Oryzias latipes: one gene and its partners. The main gene of each other region encodes a partner of the protein of the gene in region 2 in a complex. Links are inferred from orthologs where the notes say so. Each region holds a gene or a part of one and is shown on either strand. Other genes may lie near its edges.

Region 1 (4,296 bases), on a different chromosome or scaffold from region 2:
CGCTGGTTAGCAGAAGAGGGGACAGAAATGGACAATCACAGCAGGTTGGAAAGAAAACATTCTTTTGCTTTTGATACTTTACAACAAAAAAAAATAAACTGAGCATAAACCTGGATTATGTTGAATATTTAAATAAATTAGGGGTGCACATAGACTTTTAGAGCTCAAAGAAAACAAATGTATGGATCCCTGAACTTAAGGAGAACTGAATTTTTATTTCTCAAGTTTTCTTTTTTTGTGTGACTTAAAATTGAAATGAATCAGTTTGATTATCTGCAGAAAAAAAGTAAATCTGTAATTCAGGCTTTGAAATGAGAGTCACAGCTGTGATCGTGCTTCTCCTCCAGGCATCAACTGACTGAAAGAACTCACTGCAACGCCACGCTGGTCCTGAATCTGCAGAAGGAGGACAACGGCAGGAGGTGGAGGTGTCAGGTGGAGACCAAGCCAGGCGAAATAGAGACTCATTGGGACTTCACCTCCTCCTTTTTGTTTGAAAACACCTCCTCCGCCCGTGTTCTGCAGCCTCCTGCTGACGGCTTGTGTTCCGTCCGGCTGCCCATCAGCCGCATTGTGTTGTGTGTGGCTCTGCCGCTCATGGTCGGCATCGTGGGATTGGTCACATGGGTGTCGGATAGAAAGAGGAACAAGATGTTAGCTGCTGCTCTGCAGCATGACACCATGGGAATCAATCACTGACCTTTGAGATGATGTTTCTCCCAATGACACTATTCATTTTCTTCACTCTTAAGCTTTTATTCCTAACTTAACAATCTGCACTTCAGCTTTCATCTGAGTACATTTTACTGTTTTTTTAGTTGTCTAGAAAAAAACTTGATATTTGAATGTAAACAGTGTAAAACTTTACAGGCCCTCATTCTCTCTATAATGGAATCATGTGTTTAAATTTAGAAATTTGTAGATGGTTTCAATATTTTGTTGTTAAATACTACCCCTGTCTTTCTTAAGGTAGCGCGGATTACTGGATTTAACTGTCTTAACTGAAGTGACTTATTTGTTTGAACACATGTTTATACAAGTCAGAGGAAATTTGTAAAAAAATACTTGTTTTTTTTTATCTTTATATGCAAACAATAAAAAATATCATCAGATTTTTGGCTATTAGTGCTTTTATTTTATTGTTCTTCTAAAGTTGCTTTATAAACATTTTGCTATTGTTTTCCAAATTAAAATATTTTATGGTGATTTCAAAGATGTTCTATTTCTTGGCTTGTTCTAAAATATTCATGTTTAATGCACATAATTCATTAATTTATTCGTATTCATTCGTATTAATTAATTTAATTCTAAAGTTAATATTTCTAGACAAGGAGTTATTTTTATAGGCCAAAGAAATATTTTAATATTTTATGAAAAAACTGAAGGGTGTCTTGGACATTCATAGACTGCGGACTACCCTGAGTTCTCCACTCCCGGCTTCCGTAGGAAAACAATGCATTTTCACAGCTACGGAAAGTGTAAGGGGACAATTCTGCGTTTTGAGGAAAGAATTGTCTGTGCGTACCTACTGAAACATGGCAGCACATTTGAAGAAGCGAGTGTACGAGGAATTTTCAAAAGTCGTTCAGGTAAACGTTATAATTGTTTTGTTCGTCAGCTTGTTTTTGTGCGCAAGACCTTAATATGAAGCTAAAAACTGCGCTTTCAAGCTAACAGGACCGTTTGCGCATGCTAACTGATTAGCTGACTGAACAGCAACAGGAACCCGTTGCAGCTTCAACAACTCAACACACATTAGAGTTTGTACATGTTTGGTGACTTCATTTAAGGTCAAGTTGTGGAGCTGACTTTCTTTAATGTCACAAATATTTGGCCAATTGCAGCCTAGCTAAAGTGGTTAGCATCTGATATAGCTATAGCAGTCGTTCAGCGGTGCTTTCAGATGTCCTCGGACTTTTATGTGTTTTCTCCTAAAATTTAACTCTTTTTAAGGCCCATTAACTTGGGAATCAGACGTGGTTCAGATATTGGTGGTCATCTCTATCAGCCAGGTTTTTTCCTGTATGTTCAGGAACTAGTAAGACAGAAATCCATTCTATTCATTAACAACATACCCACATATTCATTAAAACAGATTCTATTTTGATTTAAAATGTTGCAGAAATGTGACTTTATACTTTAACTGGTTGCTCTGTGAATCCTGTTCATGGCTATATGTGAAAAGCTCATCAGATTCAGAGGGGAACTGTTTTTGTTTTTTAAAGTTTTTGAGTATCTTTATAAAGCAGATTTTATGAAAAGAATCTAACTCTTTTTAATTAAATTGTTCTCAGATGTTGAGTAGGAAAGGATGTTTAGGTGGTAATAACACATGTTGAATATATTTTAAAAAATCATAAACATTGATCCTGTCTTTGCATTTTTTGTAATAACCTTTAATCATTTAAATAAAGATTGAAACGTTTTCTATGTTTTTTTTTTTGTTTTTTTTTGCATAAATAATCTTCACTGTCATCGTGTTTTCAGATTCCTCATGAAGAAGCTCCGGCCAAGAAGCTGCGTCTGTCCAAACCCAGCAAGTCTGCTGCGCTGCACGTTGACCTCTGCAAAGCCACCAACTCCACCGACGCGCTGCAGTACCTGCTGCAGTTCGCACGCAAGCCCGTGGAGGCGGAGAGCGTGGAGGGCGTGATCCGGATCCTGCTCGAGCACTACTACAAGGTAAACGATGATAATGATCAGCAACAATGTGATTTTTAGAGCCGCTATGACCCTGAGCAGGATTCCACAAGACAAGATGATGAATGGATGTTGGAGATGTGGGCGGGGCAATGGTCGTTCTTTGGAAAATAGATTTCTAAGATTTAGATTTGAATGTTTATTAGTATAAAATGTGAAAAGAAAGTTCTAGTTGCTTTTAATTTTATAGAGGCGTTACTTTTTATTCTTACTGTAACATTTCAATTGTTTAAATAGTTCTAGATAGTTTCTGAATATTAGAACTCGACACCTTTGTTTGAACCGAGAAATGCGTCACGCCAATGTGTCTCATGTCAGGAAAACGACAACTCTGTGAGGCTGAAGATCGCTTCTCTGCTCGGTCTGCTGTCCAAAACCCGGGGCTTCAGCCCGGACTGCATCTTTGATGACGCCATCAACACCCTCAGCAATGAGAGTGAGACACACTCCATCCCTTTTTATTTTCATCAGACCTCAACTGTCCTCTCTGTCGGCCTTTGTGGCTTCATGTTGCGTTCAAAGACCCTTTACTGTCTCTGTGGACAGACTCCCATCAAGTCCTCGCTCAGCTGTTGGGCACTCTGCTGGTCATCGGGACTCAACTGCCAGAGAGTCCTGCAGTCAGACTGAGGCTGACCGAGGTGGCCTGCAAGGTAGCACACACACAAACACACACTCACGGGCACACAAGCACACGCAAATGCAGATGCACTCACAGACATTTACATATATAAAAAGAACACACACACACACACCGATGCACGCACTCATACTCATGCATTTACATACACACATTCCAGCATCTGATAGTTGTGGTCGTCTCCTCTGCAGCATCTGTCTGATACGCACTTCGGGGTGAGGAACAAATGTCTGCAGCTGCTGGGAGGTCTTGGCGTGGCGGACGCTCCTCTGCTTAAAGACGGCGAGGGATCGAGCTCGTCTTCAGGTCTGAATGTCTTAAAGAGGAAACTCTGCAGGCTGTTCAGAGCTTTTCTTCTGAAGCATAACATGACAGCCGTTTGGGTCAGGATGGGTTCTTATTATGCCTTTGACTTGAACAACAGGAGCTGTGAGAGAAGTTCAGACCATCATCAGCGATTACTTCGCAGACCAGGACCCCAGAGTCCGCACCGCAGCCCTGAAGGCCATGGTAGGTCACAGCGGAGCATCTTTACCTGCCAAAAACCTCCACACCGGACGCTGAACAAAGATCCCACGAAGTGCATAACTAATCTGAAGACTTTGTTTGTTTCAGCTGCAGCTTCACGAGAGAGGAATGAAGATCCATCAGATCATCTATGAGCAGGTAGGAGCTCAGGTTTATAGTTTTCACATTTAGGTCAGATTCTGAGGGATTTGATGCTTTGGAACAGAAAACATGGAATCAGTGAAGAGATTTCAGATTACTAGGTTTCACTCACAGCTGAAAAATATGTTTATTTCTTTATTTAACAACTAGTTTTAAGATACTAATTATTTTTTAAGTGTTGCACCTTTCCAGCCAGTCAGAGGCCGGGCCCATATAAAAACATATGTAGTTCAAAGACGTAGGGGTTTTTGATTTATTTATTTTTTTACCTGGGTGTATTTAGTAAA
Region 2 (3,050 bases):
GTGCCATCCTGGCCATCACGGTGCTCTGCTTCCTGCCCTACCACGTGATCTACCTGCTGCACCTCCTGCAGCGCATGGACATCATTCAGAACTGCTCCGCCCGCAATGCCATCTACAACGCGCGGCGGGTTACCATGGCGCTCGTCACCCTCAACACGTGCCTGGATCCTGTCCTCTACTACATGACCACCAACCACTTCAGCTGGAAGGCTTTGAAGACAACGTGGCTGTGGGGGATGGTGAGCAGGAGGAGGGGCATCTACACCATCACCATCAGTGAGGGGCAATGACCAGGGAGCAACACTGACTTCTGAATCAAATCACATTTCAAAATAAAAGTTATTGGAACCAAGGGTAGTTCATCAAATAACCACTAGGTGGTAGATAACACAAAGTTCACGTCAGAGAGGCTTGTTTGTCCCGCCTATTCGCACAATTATGGAAACACAAAATCACGGGGGGGGGAGGGGCATCACCATTAATCATGTAAGAACAGCACTGTAAACCTTTCTAAAGGAATCAAAAAGTAGATATAATATAAAAAGAAGCGTTTAATAATGGTGACTTTTCAAAATAAAACAATTTCTGCCTCTAAATTGTTTAATCCACCCATACAGGGAGACAAGCTTGTTTACAAAGGAAGAGCAATGGATTGATGTTATTTACATTGAAGAAGTCAAGTTTTTGGGTGCCAGTTAGGCGTTTGTAGCCTTTAAGAAGAAGAAAAACAAAAAGAACTCAAGACGTTTACTTTCTTGTCACATTTTTGGAAGTCCCTTTTTCAGCACCGATGAGAGAAAACTCCCGAGGTCTTCATCCTGGTGAGAGAAATGCAGTTCTTCTTGAAACCCATACAAAAATGTAAATACACATTAATTAAAACCACAAGTGGCGTTCCCAACAGACCATTTCTTTCAAAATAGCAGCTGATTTGTTGGTTTTAGCTCCATAGCAACAGTTTTACTTTTGGGTTGTTTGAAGGTGACAAAGAGGTTTATGTGACTGATAGAAGAATTGGCAAAAGTACATTTTTGATTTTTTTTTGTCCACATTCCTAATAAATTCATTAGAAAATATACATAGAGAAATACTTAGAAATCCAGATTTTAATGTAACTTTCTGTATATATGCCCTCCATCATGCTACAAGAACAGAACAAAAACACCAAAAACACAATCTTCATTAGAGTGGCTATTTAAAAACACTGTTAAACCACAGAGCTAGCAGAGGAAAAACATTCAAAGACACAAAGGCCTGTATGTGTTTGCTTTTCATGCCATCAGTGCTCTGCATGGAACACTTGTAGCCACAGAAAGTGTCGTCTTTCCACTGTGGGTGACAGAGATTGCACACAAACCAATGGTTTTATAGCTTCTGACAGAGCCACCTGCCTTAAAGGAAGTCTGTGCGATCAGGAAAAGCGGCGTCATCTCCTTACCGAGAAGGATGCCCAGTTTAGCTTAGTCTGTTTAGTTGAGCTTAACCATTACCTATTGAATGCTACGACTGATTTCATGTTCTTCTACAATTAAAGGTATGAAGCCCATTAGGACGACGATTGTTGTAATATTGGGCCATATAAATAAAATTTAATTGAATTGGATTGGATTGGACATCCCCTCAGTTTAATTTGTTTCCCCAATACACAGTGTCATCACTGAGAAAAACTTCTCATCAATTTTATATAAATTACTGAAACATTCCAGCTGAAAACCATAACTGTTTAGAATGTGCAGCAGGTCAACCCTGGTCAATAAAACGTTTTATTTAATTGAGGGTCGACAACAACGTGTTGGACGTCCCCTGTCCTCTGAAAGGGAGCTTGGGAGAAGTTGTCAATCATTTGTTTTGAATATTTCAGGTGGGGGCCAGTAGGCGCCATTGTGCGTTTATTGAGCCATCTGATTGGCCAGTTTATGACTAGAGTAACTTGCAGTAAAGAAATATCGTGGAATAAAATAAGAGTAGCAAGAACATGTAAAAAAAAAGAAAAGGTATAGAACGACTGAGTAACAGCTGTTTATTTCTCTACAGAAGTCTGTGGGATTTTGGCTTTTTGGAACTTCTTCCTGTTTGGAACAAAAGGGGGGGGTTACTCAGCCCAGTTCTCATTTACAGTCAATGATCCCAAAGAGGAACCCCCCCACTGGACTTCTTGTCTTTATAAACTAAATCATGACACTTTTTGAACTTTTTTCATACATGAATCAACTTTTTTCTTTTTATGTTGCTTCACTGAAAGAAACAGAGTAAATCAAATGAGATGGTTACGGTAAACGGCTGATGTTCAGGTACCTGATAACTCCAGGAAAGCAGCAGGATTTTGGCGTTTGCGTCTTCGGCGGATGAGGAGACTTTAATGACGATGGACTCCACCATGACCGTGCCGTCAGGGAGGTGCTGGATGGTGTAACCTTTTAACAGGCTGAGGGAAACGATTACAGAATGTTATTCTGCAAACAAACTTTTTCCAACCAGACTCTAAATTACATTCACAGCTAAAATGTAAGAATTTTAAGCTCAAGAAATTAAAAAAGGAACAAAATCAGCTGCTATAAATGGCTAATGCTTTCCTTTTCTGTGTTTTTCTTTGGACATACAACCCAAATGCTGCTTTTGATGACTCCAGGGAAAACTATTTATTCCAAATTGGAGAGTGTCTTTAGGACTGATGTGCAGCAGATTCCATGCAAAGCTTCACAACTGCTTCTGGCAGCTTGTCTTCACTTATTCCTGATTAAAACAGCTTCCAGTTCTCAGGTTTTTCAGGACCAAAACGTTTTTTTCCTCTTCCATTAGACATTTTCAGTGAGCCTCAGGAAGGACAGGTTTGCTGGCTGTAACTTAGAACTCTCCAGGATTTTCTTTGGAACCAGGTGGGGAAACATCTCCAGCGTTTACATTCTTTTGACTACCATAACTCTTCAACCCTTGATGCAATTAAGATGGGTGTCACGATTCATTTTAACAATGATTAGATTCTTATCTGTGGTTGAAGATACGATTCATAGTCGATATCGGTTCATTCTGAAAGATCCTATTCAATTCGA
Region 3 (4,322 bases), on a different chromosome or scaffold from region 2:
GAAGATAACTTCACAAATTAACCTATTATTTATTCAAATGGTTATTATTTTTCTTCAATTCCAAAGAGCCACAATAGAGGGATAAGAGAGCTGTGAGGCTCTGGAGCCTCAGGTTACCATACATGCAGCTGAAAGTCTTGCCTGAACCGGAACTGCTGGGTTTTAGACGGCCTCAGCAAACCTGACTCCGTTTCTCATCTGTCAGAATCCAGGAAGAGGAGAATGACAGAGCTGCTGAAGAGGAGGAGGAAGAAAAGGAAAATAACAGCTGTGGCGATGGATTGCGGCGCGGCGTGGGCAGGAAACTGTCACTGGTCCATAAGGAGCAGCAACAGTGACTGGTATACTTAAAACTCAAAAACTCCTGTCGAAACTGATGTTTCCTTTCTGAGGAGGGACAATGAGCCCAGGTGTTCCCTCCTCAAAGACAGATAAAAGACGTTGAACCCCAGTCTCTGAACTCACCGGTGAATTGGACAATCACATCGGCTGTTGTGACACATTATTGTGATATCCTTTGGATAAACTTTGGATACACTTCATGGATCTACGCCTTTTTTTATTTTTTATTTTTACATTTTCCACTATGTTTTCACCCTATTTTTGCTTTGTTTGTAGATTTATACACTCTACATGTTTTGTCATAAAACATATAGAGTATGAAAGCGCTTTGAGTGACTTGAAAAGCACAGATAAATCCAATCCATTATTATTATTATTATATAAAACTGTTTGATCTAAAATTGGTTGTGATTTCTGCAGCAGAGAAATTAGATTATTGTGTGACATAATCAAAAATGTATTTGCGAAAAGAGAAGCTGGGGTTGTACTTAAAAGCATTGCAACAAGAGATCATTTTAAAGATAAATTAATTGAGAAAATTGTAAAGTAGAAAAAAAATTGCCCGGCCCACTAAGAATTAAACATTGGACTATTAAACTATTAAACTTGTCAGAAATATTATTAATTTAAAGCTGGGTTATCCAAAATCTAAAGATTGACTAAATTTGAGGTTGAGAATCACAATAAATACAATTACTGAAATATATATTGATTAGATTTCTCCCAATTAGATGTCATTATCTGATAAAGAATACCCAGTTTTTAATTTTGAATACTCACCTGAATAATTTAAATCTAAAAAAAAGTGAGATAAGAACTTGATTTTAGGCTTTCATAGAATCATTTCCTAAGTCAATACAACATCACAGTGCCTCAGAAAGAATTTTTGCTGGTTATTAGATCAATTCCAATACATTTATTTTCATCAAATTAGAATATCTTAATTAAAATCAAAATATGATTTTCATTGGGGAGGGGGGTATCCTTATTGATAAGAAGTTTACAAACATGTTTATTTTAGTATTTTTATTTAGCAGTCTCTTATTTTTTATTTTTATTTTAATTATCCTTTTTTATTTCATTTCATTGTTTTATGTTGGATTGACTACTTTGTAACAACATATTGTTAACATTTGTTAACACATTGATTTGTTCGAAGACATTTTGATTACTGTATTGTGTTTGGAAAATGAAAAAAAAAATCCTTTAGGTTTGCAACGTGGATGCAGTAACCCTCCTTGCCAGCAGGTGTCAGTATCGAGTTCACAGAAGAGTGAAAGCCGCAGACAGACTCCGGAAGCGCGGATTTTCCTGCAGCGGAGAGATGGAAGCCTCGGAGTTTGAGGATGTTTTGGATGAATGGTTTATAGAATCCTTGACAGCGTGAGCAAACTTCCCATCTGCATTCTGTCATCATGTTTAAAAGTCGTTTCATAAAATAAAATCCATGAAAATATTTTTTCTAAAATCCTAGAGAGGATTTGAAACAAACAGACCTTGAAACAAGTATCTTTGACTCACAGTCTCCATAAAATGTGTTAAAGTGTAGATTTAAAAATGGGATTGAAGCATATTCCAAAAACATCAAATGGGGAGCAATGTCTGAACTGTAGACACACACTCGCACATTTTCCTGCAGGGCTGATGATGTATCTACAGATGTCTGTGTTTCCTTCCTGCAGGTACAAAGATCTCCATGTTTATCAGCTGGAGCATCCCACCCAGGTCATCGAGTGGACATCTGGGAAAAGTGAGTGGAAAACAGGGAGTGCGTTTATGCAAAAAAGCATTTTCTACTTAAAATATTACTTTTTGCTGCAACAATGAGTATTTTAAAAAAATCTAAATTATGTTTTACAGCATTGACAAAGTTAAAGGACTTTCACTGCTCACAGGCTGGTCTGGCTCTTTTTTCTTCTTCTCTCCGTTCGTTTCAGCCGTTTGCGTGGCGGGATACGGTTCCTCCAAAAACCAGCTCTTGGAGCTTCGATTACCACTCAAGCTTTTTGCAGAAGAAAACAAGGTAACAGTGAAGAAGACAAAAGCTTTTATAGTGAAGCGCCGTTTCCAGCTGTCTCTGAACTTTTGTCCCATTTGCTGAGTTCAGGGTCTCTGTGCAGAGCGGGATTTCAAACTTCTCCATGGTGGTTTCTCAGACGGGCCAGTTGGCTGCCTCAGACATATCCCAGCATCCAGGTGAGCTCAAACATCTGTCTTCTCAGACAGTCAGTTTTTCTTCCTCCTGCTCAAACCTGAACTGTTTTCTGAAATGGGTTTTTGATTTCTGGAAAAACTAGCATTGAACTAGTTTGGAGTTTTGAATCAGACTCTGAATGTGTGACTTTCCTCACACCAAACAAACTTCATGAGGAGTTGAATTAATAAAGGTGACTACTTCTTTCTTTTGAGGCAGACTGATTGTGACCAATGATGGACAGGGGACTGACCTGCAGGTGTGGGACCTTGGAGGAGATGACAGTGGTGAGATTTATGTTAAATATTCTCTCTTGTAGCGTGAATTTAAAAGTTTAAAAATTTAGTTTCTCATTAAACTTAAAAGGGTTAAACATTTCCAATACTGCCACTGACGTACTCATCCTCCTTTGGAGGAGGAAAAATCTTCATTTCCCCTCCTTCCCTGAGAAAAACTCTGACAAAATAAGCCAGATATATTAAACTTTAATACCATATCAAAATCTTAAACATTCCTGCTGCTAGAGAATATAAACAAATTAAATGAAGGATTAATTACTTTGAAGAACAATAACATTGAACCTATGTGCAAAAACTTGTGTTAATGGCTTCAATGTGCCTGCTTTGTGCCACAAATCTTTTCAAGACGAGGTTGCAGGTTTTCTTACTTCGACTCTCGAGTCCTGCTCAATATTGAGCCTAGCTCTGTTCTTTATTTTCCAAGTGGCAACAGCAGAAAAGTCGATCTCACAAAGATAGGACGTAGAATGGAAGCAGAACGCCCAAAGTCTTCTGCCCCATGAGTGGATGCTCCCTCTCCACACCCAGCCAGAACTCAGGGAGTATCTGTGCTGTAAACCTCATCCTCAGGGGGGAGTCTGACGTGATTTCAATGAACTGATCCTCCTCAGCAGAGCTCAAACCAGCAGCTGCTGCTGCGTGAAACGGATCTCTCAGCCAGTCGTATTGAGATCTGTTGTCTGGGAAATATTTGAGAAAGAATCCTGGCAAAGAAAAAAAGGAATAAAGTGAATGATCCTTTTTATACAAAGTAGAAATAAATTAAATAAAGGATCATTAACTTTGTATGTTCTCAAACTGTGGGGCGTGCCTCCCTTGGGGGGGCGCTGAGGCATTACATCCATTATACATGCTTTTCTCCATTCTTCAACAAATTTGATCAGAGTTGCAGAGAAAGGCAGGTGAGGGTATCCAAACCGTACCGGTTGCATGTGCGAAATGCGTCAACGTCCGGGCCGCATTACCGTTCTTTTAAGACGTTAAAATCTGTGTCTGAAAGTTTGAGTTTAGTTCCTTCTCCGACGGTGATTGGCTGTCTGCTGCGTCTCTTCTTCCATCTGCAGACGTGATCAGAAGAACAGGAACTGTCAAAGGGAGGGAAAGCGCCCAACAGTGTGGAAGCAGGATTGCAGCTTCACCGTCTTCATCGCCTCAAGTCCTTCATGGAGCAGAGAGCGGCAGTGTCCAGCTGACTCAGCTGACTTCAGGACAATCCCTTTATAAATTAGGTCAAACTGTGGAAACTGGAATGTAAACAAAATACATTCATGCATCAAGGTTTGTAGAAAATCAAACTGATTTTTCCCTTCCATTTTTCCCTTAAACAGAGACCGACACTTCAGATCCTCTGAACTCCTTACAGTTCACGAGTGATGCGGTTTTCCTCGCCGGATGCTCCAACGGGAGAATTTACATGGCTGACACCCGAGTGTCCGCCGCTCCTCAGATGTCACCTCCGCCTGCATCTTCAGGTCAGTCCGCCGTCT
Region 4 (4,238 bases), on a different chromosome or scaffold from region 2:
AGCTTGTGTCTGTCTGGAGCTGAAGGAGGGGCTTGATGGAGTCTAAGGAAAGAAGCATTAAAGGGAGATGATGACACTACCAGAAGTACAAGATGGTATCAAGTTATAAGATCTGTAGTTCCAACTGTTTCCTGCTGCAACATGACGCAGTATAGTTATATCAACTATATATGATAACTGGATTGAGTTCACAGGAAGTACCCACTGGCTCCAAGGAGCCAAAATCCCACAATTGTCTATTGAAAAATAAACAGCTATTGGACATTTTTTGGCGTATAAGGCGCGTTTTATTTTTTATTTTTTTTGCATAATTGGCCGGGGATGTGACTTCTACGTGATTTTTTTTAACCCTTGTTTTAACCCTTGTGCCTAGGATAGCACAAGGGTTAAATAAATATGCTTGTGTATTTCTTCTTTTTCCACTAACAGCCACTAGAGGGCAGTGTAGGTGTGTATCAGTATTTGCTACTGACAGCAACGCTAAAGAAGTAGGGCCGCTCAGTCTACGGCGGGCTTGGGCAGAATTATTCCAAAGTGACACAGATAATGAAGAATTCAACAGATTTAGTGATTTTAAGTGATATAGTGAGTTTAGTTGATTTTTTAGTGCGCTCTTTATGTTATGGTTATCTGAACGATTGTTCAATATACTAGATTATTCAATTCCTCCAATGTCTCATGAAGCTACGTGTTACAGTAGTGAAGCGTGTGCATATTTTCAGTCTATTTTTGTTGTCTATTTCATCCCTATGATTTGTCTTTCAGGATGAAATTTCAGTTCTTGGTCGCGTATTTTGTAAAATAAATTTCTCCCAAAAAAGTGCAACTTCTACTCTAGTGCAACTTATATGTGAATTTGTTATTATTATCTTATAGTATCTTATTTACTATGCACCAGAGTGACTTTTAGCCCAAAAATTGTCACGGTCATTACATGTTTGGAAGAGAGCTCAGCTTTTATGACGAGTTACCTGCTTGAACAAAGAAACTGAAAGCCTGTCTGTGCTGCAGCATTGTGCTGAAGCCCTGAATCCAGCCGATGCGGACGCAAGGATCATCCCAAAGTCCATCTTCACGCCAGTGCTGAGGGTTAAAGGCGAGGTCCAGGACAGAGTTCGCCTGTGGGGGCGAGAGCATCATCATCATTATCAGTGTTGTGGATGGCTGTGTGATGTTGGTGAAATGCAGGAGATATGAGGCCTACCTGGAGAGCTCTGAAGCCATCCTCAGCAGCAGCCACTAAACCAGTGAGTTTGAGGGCAAAGGAGATGATGCTGGACTCTGCAGCTCTGCTGGAAACTACAGTTGATATGAAGCCCTGCAGACATGGGTTGACCTCCAGCAGAGACACGCCTTCAACAGGAGGAGACACAGTCAAAGAGTGTGATAACAGAAACATTCAAGACCCACTCCAGTGAAAATAGTGTTTTGGGGTTTTTTAACGTGTTGTTGTAGTAATTTTCTTATGATGGAACACATATATAAACAAAAGAAAACTAAAATGGCATTTTTTGAGTATATCTTTATTCAAATCGTTGTGAATCAGGAGCACACAAAATGTCGTTAGAGAAAGCTATCTTTTGAAACACAGTAAGTGAGATGGGTGGGCTACAAGCTCCCTGCTCTGCTCCATTGATGCATCCACATGCAGACAAAGAAATCCATGTCTATCTGGATCAAAATTGTATGCCTGGAAATGGATAGCTTTAATATTGCTCGCTATTATTGTTTCACAGATAATGTTAGGTTGGGGTTGTGAGGGGCTGTAAGCCACCAGAAGAGAGTGTTAACAAAGGGATGATGGGAAATCAGCAGAAGCTTACTTCCGCCAACTCAGATGCAAATTTCTAAGAGGTTTTGCTGCTTTGCAGAAACTATGTCCTTAAAAAAATAACAGTTTCCTTTAAAATTGTTACCAAAAAAGGCATAATCATAATTGAAAGACCACTGGGAAGTATTTTACAACTGATCAAAAGATGATTTTAATGGGACCTGAACTTCTACTTCTCTTCATAAATAATTATTAAATGTACTTCAATTTTAAATTTCAAATATTTCCAGGAATTTATGTGCAAATTATATCCCGGCCAAATTGAATTCACATAAACAAAGAAAACTGCGCCAGACTGGCTGGGAAGAACTCGTAGTATGGGGAACAGCTCCCAGAACTAACCCGATTTGCTGAATGTTGTGAACCAGTCCAGCAGTTTTTCCAGGCTTGTATCATCGGGCAAAGAGCTTCTCGGGGCCGCCAGAACGTCACAGACCCGCGGCAGGAGAGACACACAGTCTCCATCCATACTGAAGAATGGCCGGGAAAACCCAACATACACCAAGTTTGGAGCTCACGTCACGATAACTAACTCAAACCTTCGAATCGTCGATATTGAAATTCATCAAAAGCGAAAATCATATAGCTAAACCAAAAAACCTTTATAAAAGTAAATGGATAAAAAGTGAATTACTTTCATGTGGCAATTTTGTAGTCAGTATTTGAGACATATTGCGAGTAACTCTAAAAAAGAAGTAGTTTTCAACAATTTACTGGCAGGTGACTCCCCTTATGTTGCTAGCAAAAGTAGCTTCTACTACCGTTCGATCTGTATTCATCTCGATGCAGTAAATCTAATTGAGCATTCGTTGTTGTCGCTCCTCCATTTGTTTTACAACTTTGCGATTTCACGATGGTCCGTAAACGCGCCTCTGACCCGCTTCCGGCGTCACGTTTCCGCCTCTTCGTCCATTTTCGCACATGGTGCCTCACCGGTCGTTCGTTGTTAGCCTCTCATTTTCCGGGATTTTGCGCCTCTGTAAAGGTTTTTCAGAACCGCAGTCCCATTAAATGCGAAATACAGTTGATATGGTGGACGACCCAGAGTATGAGGAGGAGGAGGAGCCTTCCTTCAGCGACCCGGAGGACTTCGTAGATGATGTCGAGGATGAGGGTAAGCGCTAGCAGGAAAAGCGCCGGCTGTAGGCCTATTGCTAACTGCTAGCTAAAAAGCTAGACGGACCGTTGCTTTTGACATATTTGCAGATGCTGTCAGTTTGACATTTTCTTTAGGCGAAAGAATGGACTAGTTAAGCCGTATTAGTCTCGACAGAGTTAATTGGAAGGTTTTATCAACCAAGAAACACACGAACAATCGGTTTTCTTGTCTATCATGATCATGAACGCCGTTCATTCAGTCATCATACCAGATGCTATACCGTCAGTTTTTAAGTCGATGAGTTAAAGGGGAAATTAGCATCTTTAGTTGTCTTTTAAGTCAATTTGACAAATATATAAATTGATGAATTTACGTCACTACTCTTGTCTTGTTGTGACATTTTGAAAGGTTTGAATTAAATATGCTCTTTTGTTATTTCACAATATACTTCATGGCATTAACAAAGCTCACATTTTTTTTTAACCACATAGAGACACAGCATCCAAATGGATTTCATATAATCTAGACTACTTAAAATTGTCTGGAGGATTATTTAAACTGAACTTGGGTGATTACATTTGCAGAAGTAATTTACAGATTAACCAAAGAACCTACCTCTTAAAGGAAGAAGTGAAGCAGATAGATCAGGGGTCTGCAAGCTTTAGTGCTGAAAGAAGCACATGATGGTCCAGTTTATTTTACACCAAAACCCAGTGAGAGCCTCACTTTTCTGTTTATTTTCTGTTTATGTTAAAAGAAAAAGAAGAAAAAAATCACATTTTTTGTGGCCATCAAGCCATTCATTCATAAAAAGTAGCTTTAAAAATTGGAATAATATAATTATAACAGTGTTACATTACTATTATATACCTTTTGACAGCAGCGCATACAAATTCCTTTCAAAATAAAATGCATCCGGTATAAAGTAAGATCTTGCTGCAAATGTACTGAAAGAACTTTGTCTTTGAACAGCAACTAAACAAAAGGTAAGAATATGAGTTTAAACTAATTCCAATTATAAACCACTCTGACAATAGATCCAACCCTTTGCCATTATTTTGGTTTGTTTTCTGATGTTTGCTATTTAGGGGAATGGTAAACCTTCCAGTGGCTGTTGATTTAGTTTAATATCACCATTGGTTAAAAAATGTATAAGTGAATTTTTATTTATGTAAGATTACCACAGTTTAAAAATCTAATAATAAATGAAAACACTTAAATATCAAGTCTATTATTTATTCAAATTGTTCTTCAAAGCCACAGAGCCACAATCGAGGGACAAAATGAAGCATTTTCTGTTAACCTAAA

The links.
Region 1: the proteins of ints11 (region 2) and ints4 are in contact, whole or in part, in a cryo-EM structure (PDB 7BFP), measured with the Homo sapiens proteins. The link is inferred for Oryzias latipes from reciprocal best matches to the Homo sapiens genes INTS11 and INTS4. Residues at the interface, in NP_060341.2 of Homo sapiens: Pro183, Trp191, Lys194, Asp212, Gln288, Gln400, Gln404, Lys462, Met465, Ala466, Leu469; in NP_291025.3 of Homo sapiens: Leu159, Asp161, Thr162, Arg167, Tyr203, Gln207, Asp244, Ser292, Gly294, Trp296, Arg299, Lys323, Met326, Ser327, Asp328.
Region 3: the proteins of ints11 (region 2) and wdr73 are in contact, whole or in part, in a cryo-EM structure (PDB 8R22), measured with the Homo sapiens proteins. The link is inferred for Oryzias latipes from reciprocal best matches to the Homo sapiens genes INTS11 and WDR73. Residues at the interface, in NP_060341.2 of Homo sapiens: Tyr206, Thr208, Thr209, Ile210, Arg211, Asp212, Ser213, Arg215, Cys216, Arg217, Glu218, Arg219, Asp220, Leu222, Lys223, Lys224, His226, Phe255, Arg258, Met259, Leu364, Val384, Glu385, Tyr386, Ser388, Lys418, Lys419, Glu421, Phe422, Gln425; in NP_116245.2 of Homo sapiens: Asp5, Asp6, Leu8, Val9, Ser11, Leu12, Tyr15, Gln16, Phe18, Tyr19, Ala20, Phe21, Asp22, Leu23, Glu50, Leu52, Arg59, Leu68, Phe69, Pro70, Glu71, Arg72, Asp73, Phe74, Lys75, Val76, Gly79, Phe81, Asp116, Ser117.
Region 4: the proteins of ints11 (region 2) and brat1 are in contact, whole or in part, in a cryo-EM structure (PDB 8UIB), measured with the Homo sapiens proteins. The link is inferred for Oryzias latipes from reciprocal best matches to the Homo sapiens genes INTS11 and BRAT1. Residues at the interface, in NP_060341.2 of Homo sapiens: Leu9, Val15, Gly16, Lys27, Met35, His36, Met37, Gly38, Phe39, Arg43, Asp47, Tyr50, Thr58, Asp59, Asp62, His70, Leu71, Asp72, His73, Asp87, Gly88, Gln97, Pro101, Ile102, Glu105, Arg108, Lys109, Val112, Asp113, Lys114; in NP_689956.2 of Homo sapiens: Asp25, Thr27, Cys28, Glu30, Lys31, Asp34, Pro117, Ser156, Ser157, Leu158, Phe159, Ser162, Lys358, Ser359, Cys366, Arg367, Arg424, Arg427, Thr465, Lys468, Lys469, Trp514, Glu515, Asp518, Ser519, Glu522, Tyr560, Ser564, Ser604, Glu605.

The regions. Positions count from the first base shown.
Region 1 is NC_019871.2:2,461,037-2,465,332, forward strand, and holds the start of ints4 (integrator complex subunit 4), read left to right. Parts: upstream 1-1,457; 5' UTR 1,458-1,535; coding exon 1,536-1,589; intron 1,590-2,487; coding exon 2,488-2,682; intron 2,683-3,018; coding exon 3,019-3,136; intron 3,137-3,246; coding exon 3,247-3,353; intron 3,354-3,531; coding exon 3,532-3,646; intron 3,647-3,764; coding exon 3,765-3,850; intron 3,851-3,955; coding exon 3,956-4,006; intron 4,007-4,296. Other genes in the region: uncharacterized protein LOC105355351, read left to right, coding at 1-44, 348-699. UniProt on the Homo sapiens protein: Component of the integrator complex, a multiprotein complex that terminates RNA polymerase II (Pol II) transcription in the promoter-proximal region of genes.
Region 2 is NC_019865.2:23,495,734-23,498,783, reverse strand, and holds the end of ints11 (integrator complex subunit 11), read right to left. Parts: intron 2,426-3,050; coding exon 2,296-2,425; intron 819-2,295; coding exon 759-818; 3' UTR 534-758; downstream 1-533. Other genes in the region: lysophosphatidic acid receptor 4-like, read left to right, coding at 1-290.
Region 3 is NC_019874.2:25,858,666-25,862,987, reverse strand, and holds the start of wdr73 (WD repeat-containing protein 73), read left to right. Parts: upstream 1-1,467; 5' UTR 1,468-1,666; coding exon 1,667-1,725; intron 1,726-2,024; coding exon 2,025-2,092; intron 2,093-2,279; coding exon 2,280-2,365; intron 2,366-2,449; coding exon 2,450-2,538; intron 2,539-2,751; coding exon of another isoform or gene 2,752-2,755; coding exon 2,756-2,823; intron 2,824-3,899; coding exon 3,900-4,064; intron 4,065-4,163; coding exon 4,164-4,322. UniProt on the Homo sapiens protein: Component of a multiprotein complex required for the assembly of the RNA endonuclease module of the integrator complex. Associates with INTS9 and INTS11 in the cytoplasm, stabilizing the INTS9-INTS11 heterodimer and blocking the active site of INTS11.
Region 4 is NC_019859.2:21,374,004-21,378,241, forward strand, and holds the start of brat1 (BRCA1-associated ATM activator 1), read right to left. Parts: upstream 2,833-4,238; 5' UTR 2,301-2,832; coding exon 2,174-2,300; intron 1,354-2,173; coding exon 1,205-1,353; intron 1,120-1,204; coding exon 972-1,119; intron 43-971; coding exon 1-42. Other genes in the region: eif3b (eukaryotic translation initiation factor 3 subunit B), read left to right, coding at 2,843-2,945. UniProt on the Homo sapiens protein: Component of a multiprotein complex required for the assembly of the RNA endonuclease module of the integrator complex.